2 linked regions of the Nothobranchius furzeri genome follow. The protein of the gene in region 1 purifies or fractionates together with the protein of each later gene. This does not show direct contact. Links are inferred from orthologs where the notes say so. Each region holds a gene or a part of one and is shown in the gene's direction. Other genes may lie near its edges.

Region 1 (3,757 bases):
ACTAACAGCCAAACAGTAACTAAACTACAATATCCAACAGCCAAGCTAACACTAAATAAGTATGTATAACACTAAAAGCTATGCTAAAGACTAGGATATGCTAATGCTATATGCTAATGCTGAACTACGGCTAGCCTCCTACACTCTCATGCAAATCCAACTCCCAACTCGCCACAAGGCGTGGCCGAGACTCCCGATGCTTTTATAACGTTGACACAGAGCTGCTACGTAGTACTCTACTGGATTACGTAGTATCTTACTCTTTAGCCATTGGCTAAAATTTATTCAAAATGAGTCAAATTCTATGTTTTAAGCTGAAGGTGGAGCTATACTGTGGTATTTAGGCAGAATTTTTAATTTTTTAAGAAAATGCACCAAAATGCTAAAATAATGAATACACACATTTAAAACACTATTAGACACTCATTTATACAGTTCATCAGCAAAAAAAAGTTAATTTAGACGTTACTTGCTCTTTAAGTTTGATCAGAAGTTGCTATGTGTATTGTTTATTTGAAAACTATTTACAGAGCAGCCTCAGAGTTGAGATTAAATGTTTTTGATCACAATAGTAAAGGAACTATTACAGAACAAGTTTTTCAATAAAATCAGAACATTAATATTTAAGTGCATGAATTAAGAGAGAGAGAGAGAAAAAAAGATCTTTTCTATAGCGCCTCTCAAGATAAAAATCACAGGGCGCTTCACAAAAACAAAACATGTAAAATAGAAAAAAGAATTTAGAAAATGATTAAATTAAAATGAGCAAAAAATAGACAATTGTGATTAAAAATGTAAAGAAAGAGAGAGAGAGTGAATAGGAAAGAGGGAGTGGATCCTCCTCAGGAAGAGGAGAGAGAGAGAGGGGGGGGGAAAAAGAACCCCGACTGGAGTGGAAGCAGTGACATAAGAATTAAGTCACACAACGTTTTCCACAAATGCACACGTTCATTCGGAAAGCCACACTCTTGTGTTTCACAAATATAATTCGGAGGAACACAAATGCACAAGCTCATTCGGAAATTCACACTCTTTGACTCATAAATATAATGTGAAAAAATAAGTCACGCAACATTTTCCACAAATGCACACGCTAATTCTGAAGTTCACACTCTGTGGTTCACAAATATTATTTGTAAGAACACTTGTAATATAAACTCACAGATCATCCGAATTGCTGAACGTGCATTTACGAAAAGCTTCTCATTTGTGAACCTTTCTGCGTTTGTGAGTGAAATCTGTGCGCTGAATTTTGGGGGCTTGTCTCCAGCATGTGTTACCATGGTGAATGGGAGGGGCTTCAAGCTAGCCACATTGGTCTTTAAATTATTGTTGGCTAATGTGTTTCGGTTTAAACAAACAAACATATAAACTGAAATAATTTACACAAATTCATCTTCGAGTGTTTTCACGGTCATGTCCTTTTATCTTTCTAGAAAAGGTTAGATGACCAGGATCCAATTCGAACAGCTGCTCGTGTTTGATTCATCATCCTTAACATCGACCATGCATGCGCATCAATGTTCGATTGTTTCAGACTGTGGTGAGCGCTTAGCCCAGTGGCTAATGCTAAGTGCTGATTGTTAGATCTAAACGAGTTCGTTTGAATGAGTTCGGATTTACTTTAAATTAGTATAAATTAATCGGCACAATATGGCGGAAGATTCATTCAAACTGTCAAAAAACCTGCTGCGGATGAAGGTAAGCGTTAGCTGCTAGCTCTGCGCCGAACGTCATTGACTAAACAGAAATGAACGTTTGATGTGTGATAAGAAGACGCTAGTTTCCTCCCAGATGCTGACTCCAAGCAGCGTTTATCACCCTGAAACTGAACTTGAATTCGGGGTAAAGCAACGAGACGAAGCGGATTTAGGCGTGTTTCAGAGATGTATCTGATCTCTGTGAACCCGTGGAGGAGCGGGATGTGCCTCCTTCATCTGGACCACTCTGAACCAGGACCGAACCTGAGAGAAGATTCTACCAAAGTCCAAAAAAATCCGAACCACAGCTCACAAAAAGCCAGAGCTTCTGGTGCAATGATTAGAATCTTCACTCCCAACACGTCCTCCATCCTGAGCAGCACCACGCAACGTCCTACAGAATCAAGTCCAGGATGGACCGACTGGTTCTGGGAGACCTGGTGGCCGCCAGAGAGGAGCCTGGGAAGGGAAAGCTGTGCCTCTTGTTTTACTGTTAGAACCTCTAGGAAGGAACCAAACTTGCTGCTGCCTGAGAACCAGGAGTTGTGGGAAGAGAGAAGATTTCTGATGGAAGTCAACTTTAGAAGTTCTGGATCTTCCAGGAAGCTGATGATCTTGGCAGCATTGTTGTGGACCTGGCTAACGGTGGTTTTGGTTGGGTCCAGATTGAGTAAATGTGTGCTTTGTGTTTCAGTTTATGCAGAGGGGACTGGATGCTGAGACAAAGAAGCAGCTGGACGAAGACGAGAAGAGGATCATCAGTGATGAACACTGGCACCTGGACCTGCCGGAGCTCAAATCTAAAGAGTATGAGAACAGGAATCCCACTAGCCTGGCGAGCCACGACCCATAGACAGATCTAAATAATGGGGTGGGATCTACGTTTTTTTTTTTTTGTTTTCCAATAACATCCTGCCTACTTAGTGTTGCGATTGGTCCATGAAATCTATATAGCGCCATGATTGGACCACTACAGAACAGCAGCCATCTTTATTTGTAGTTTACCTGGCTGATACCTATGTTTGGACAGTTTCGAGCGGCAGCCATGTTTGTTTGCAGGGACATCCCTCCCACCTCGCTAAAAGAGCACTGTGATTGGCCCAACAAACCAGTAAAACACTGATTGGAATGCCACGGATGTCAGTCAACGGGGCAGCCCGCCGTTACATTAAAAAAAAAAGTAAAACAGCGCGCCAGCACTAGCCTGGCAAGCCAGACTAAATAAATGTATTATTTAGGCAGGATGTTGTCTGAAAACTCAAATTTTATTGATCCTATTTATCTTAATAATTCCCACAAAACTAGATGGTACTAGATTAGTAGTAAAAAGTATTGGTATTGGGCGGCAATACTAGCCCCTGTATTTACTTGGTATCGGATCGATACCAAATTTTGCAGTATCGTACAGCACTACTGACTAGTCGGCGGTCAGCCGCTCGTTTGAAATGGCTTTGGCGTCAAGTTTGGACTATTATGACTTTTTAGCTTTTGTTTGAGTCAAGATCAGATAGAAGTACTAACGTTTATTTAGGAAAAGGATGTGTTTTGCATCTTCTTTGACGGAGTTTGGTGGACTGCCTCGTTGACCGACATCTGTAGCGGTGAGTAAATCAATGCTTGCCAGGCTAGAAGAAACGGAATCGATACCATCACGCAGGTATCTAGTAAATACTCAATACCAACGTTAGATCGATACTATCGATATCTTAGCTCGATCCGCCCAGCCCTATTTGTCAGTTTTACTGCCTCGACGCTCCGCAGCTACAACATGGCCGCCGCCTCCTCTCTTTCCATTCAATGTTTCTGGTAGCAGCGGTAAACAAGGCTTTGAAGTATCGCGCAAATTCATTGTGACTCGAGACATGTGAGGTTTGTCTTATTTTACTTACTGCATTATGAAAGTAAACAGCGCGTGCACACACACACACACACACACACACGTTTATTTGTCAGGACGGCTCTCCTCCTCACTGCACCTTCGCTCGGCCAGTGCTTCTTCCCCGGCTCCTCGGGCCCCGCCGCCGCGCTGATTTGTTTTAAAGAAAAACAACCTCAAA
Region 2 (3,757 bases), on another chromosome or scaffold:
CAAAATGTGTCATAAAATTGATCGGTTTGTGCACCGTATTTCTTCAACGAACTTCATTGTTTGTGATTTATGCTATTTGAAACCTGGTTCGAGGAAAATAAAGCTTTTTCGTTGAATCCGAATAAAATCCCATTAACCGGCGATTTGGAGATCGGGGGGTTTCTGTGAAAGCATCACGTAGAAGCTCCTTTTCTTTTCGTCCCTTCAACTGTTTATATCATGCTTACACTCGAAGCGCAACACTTAATAGACTAAATGAAAGAAAATCCAAAATTGGTGTCATTTCTTTATGTGTTTAGCCAACAAACTGAACAAAATATTCATTTACAGCCACGTTTTGCCCCACTGTACTTACTTCTATCATTTAAACGAATATCAGTCTAGTTAAAATCGCATGTATGAATATACGGATAAAATAAACGACCAACACACACATTAGATTAGTCCACATCAGTTCACATGATTGGTTACAAACAAATTTAGATTTGGGTTCACATATCGCTCCTAAAGGGAAAGAAGTCCTATTTAAAATTTTGAATAACATTTACCCAACAAATAGACTCCTTGGGGATAGATTCAATATAGAAGCTGGTAATTGTGTATTTTGTGAAACAGAAGAGGAGGACTTAGACCATCAATTTTTTTTGTGCAACTTTATACAAATATTTTGGTTAGATTTTCATGCCTGGCTTTGTTCTAGTGGGATTCAAATTGCCCCATTTACCTTAAATATGACAATGTTTGGAGTGTTTTTGAAAAAAAGAAAGTTAATTATGGTGTTAATGTGTTATTAATTTTGTGCAAACAATTTATACATAAATGTCAATTTTTAAGACCAAACCAACACTAGCCTATTGGAAAAACGACTTAAAATTATTAATTAAATCGTTGAATTTAGTTAAAAAGAAAAAGGCAGATTTGTTTATTTCCTTTGTAGAAGATTTTGAGTTAGTAAGTTAATAATCTGTTAATTATGTGACCCCATCTTTAGATTTTCTTTTTTTCATATACGTGAAAATGTTTAATATGCATGTAATGATTATCGTTTGAATATATAATGTACGGTGCATTTTGTTTGTATGTTATCTTCTCTAAAAAAAAAAGAAAAAAAAAAGATTTGGGTTCATTTGCGACATACGGTAAAGCCGTATATTGTTTCGTCGCGCATGCGCGAATTGCGTAAATAGGTGGTTCCCGCATGTCAGTTGAGAATAATTTGATTTTCACCAGAAACAGCAAATAACAACAATCATGAAAGAAACGCCGCTTTCCAACTGCGAGCGAGACTTCTTACTGAGAGCAATCGAAGAGAAAAAGGTGCGTTTTAAAACGTTTATCATCAAAGTAGCTAAGAAAACAACCTCCACATCCAGAACGTTGAATGGAAAAACTGAAAAAAATCCGTGCTTCTATTCATGATTGTATCTTTAGAAGTGAGAATTCACACCAAAATTGTCACAGAAATGTTTAAGATAAAAACGTTGTAACCGAAATTAAGTCATTTAATTTTCCAAGTTCCAACTATTGTTTTTGAAGAAACTAGCTAAAGTTCTGTTTACTGTTTTTTGTTCGTGTCTTTTAGCGGCTCGATGGACGACAGACCTATGACTACAGAAAGTTGAAAATCACTTTTGGGACTGATTATGGATGCTGCTTTGTGGATCTGGGGCAAACCAGGTGATTCTGGGGTTTGGTAATGTGATGAAAGCTGCTGAATGATTCTAATACTGACTAACATGTTGTCTCTAAAATCAACACGAGGAACTGTTAGGGTCAAAAATCCTTGGGAGTGCAACCTTCATCAAAATAACAAGAACATCAGATTCCCTTTCATCCCTTGCAATGAGTGAAGAGATAAACATGTAAAAGAACAACGTTTATTAATGCTGAAAGTTTTGTAACTATTAGTTACAAATCAGTGAATGCATTCTGTCCTCACGGGCTTCCGTAAAAGGAAACATGGCATCCAATATTGTGTCACCCAGAGACTTAGACCCACTCCTATGCATTTTAAACCCAATTTTTATGGCTATACAGTGGGGCAAAAAAGTATTTAGTCAGCCACCGATTGTGCAAGTTCTCCCACTTAAAATGATGACAGAGGTCAGTAATTTACATCATAGGTACACTTCAACTGTGAGAGACAGAATGTGAAAAAAAATCCATGAATTCACATGGAAGGATTTTTAAAGAATTTATTTGTAAATCAGGGTGGAAAATAAGTATTTGGTCAATAACAAAAATTCAACTCAATACTTTGTAACATAACCTTTGTTGGCAATAACAGAGGTCAAACGATTACTATAGGTCTTTACCAGGTTTGCACACACAGTAGCTGGTATTTTGGCCCATTCCTCCATGCAGATCTTCTCGAGAGCAGTGATGTTTTGGGGCTGTCGCCGAGCAACACGGACTTTCCACTCCCTCCACAGATTTTCTATGGGGTTGAGGTCTGGAGACTGGCTAGGCCACTCCAGGACTTTCAAATGCTTCTTACGGAGCCACTCCTTTGTTGCCCGGGCGGTGTGTTTGTGATCATTGTCGTGTTGGAAGACCCAGCCACGTTTCATCTTCAAAGCTCTCACTGATGGAAGGAGGTTTTGGCTCAGAATCTCACGAAACATGGCCCCATTCATTCTGTCCTTAACACGGATCAGTCGTCCTGTCCCCTTAGCAGAAAAACAGCCCCAAGCATGATGTTCCCACCCCCATGCTTCACAGTAGGTATGGTGTTCTTGGGATGCAACTCAGTATTCTTCTTCCTCCAAACACGACGAGTTGAGTTTATACCAAAAAGTTCTACTTTGGTTTCATCTGACCACATGACATTCTCCCAATCCTCTGCTGTATCATCCATGTGCTCTCTGGCAAACTTCAGACAGGCCTGGACATGCACTGGCTTCAGCAGCGGAACACGTCTGGCACTGCAGGATTTGATTCCCTGACGTTGTAATGTGTTACTGATGGTGACCTTTGTTACTGTGGTCCCAGCCCTCTGCAGGTCATTCACCAGGTCCCCCCGTGTGGTTCTGGGATTCTTGCTCACCGTTCTCATGATCATTTTGACCCCACGGGATGAGATCTTGCGTGGAGCCCCAGATCGAGGGAGATTATCAGTGGTCTTGTATGTCTTCCATTTTCTGATAATTGCTCCCACAATTGATCTTTTCTCACCAAGCTGCTTGCCTATTGTAGATTCACTCTTCCCAGTCTGGTGCAGGTCTACAATTCTTTTCCTGGTGTCCTTCGAAAGCTCTTTGGTCTTGGCCATAGTGGAGTTTGGAGTCTGACTGTTTGAGGCTGTGGACAGGTGTCTTTTATACAGATAATGAGTTCAAACAGGTGCCATTAATACAGGTAATGAGTGGAGGACAGAAAAGCTTCTTAAAGAAGACGTTACAGGTCTGTGAGAGCCAGAGATTTTCCTTGTCTGAAGTGACCAAATACTTATTTTCCACCCTGATTTACAAATAAATTCTTTAAAAATCCTGCCATGTGAATTCATGGATTTTTTTTCCACATTCTGTCTCTCACAGTTGAAGTGCACCTATGATGTAAATTACTGACCTCTGTCATCATTTTAAGTGGGAGAACTTGCACAATCGGTGGCTGACTAAATACTTTTTTGCCCCACTGCATGTTATGAAACAACCACTATTTGTCAACAACTGGGCACTTTTTAATTCATTTACAACATTTCAATGGATATTTCCAGAGATTAATGGTAAAAACTACACATTGTCACTTTAATATAATC

The links.
Region 2: the proteins of mphosph6 (region 1) and exosc9 purify together in Homo sapiens (affinity purification with mass spectrometry; 5 studies listed by BioGRID and IntAct, with this or other methods). This does not show direct contact. The link is inferred for Nothobranchius furzeri from reciprocal best matches to the Homo sapiens genes MPHOSPH6 and EXOSC9.

Annotation. Positions count from the first base shown.
Region 1 is NC_091744.1:80,075,136-80,078,892, forward strand, and holds the start of mphosph6 (M-phase phosphoprotein 6), read left to right. Parts: upstream 1-1,501; 5' UTR 1,502-1,653; coding exon 1,654-1,701; intron 1,702-2,394; coding exon 2,395-2,507; intron 2,508-3,757. UniProt on the Homo sapiens protein: RNA-binding protein that associates with the RNA exosome complex. Involved in the 3'-processing of the 7S pre-RNA to the mature 5.8S rRNA and play a role in recruiting the RNA exosome complex to pre-rRNA; this function may include C1D.
Region 2 is NC_091746.1:81,911,098-81,914,854, reverse strand, and holds the start of exosc9 (exosome complex component RRP45), read left to right. Parts: upstream 1-1,152; 5' UTR 1,153-1,251; coding exon 1,252-1,317; intron 1,318-1,582; coding exon 1,583-1,677; intron 1,678-3,757. UniProt on the Homo sapiens protein: Non-catalytic component of the RNA exosome complex which has 3'->5' exoribonuclease activity and participates in a multitude of cellular RNA processing and degradation events.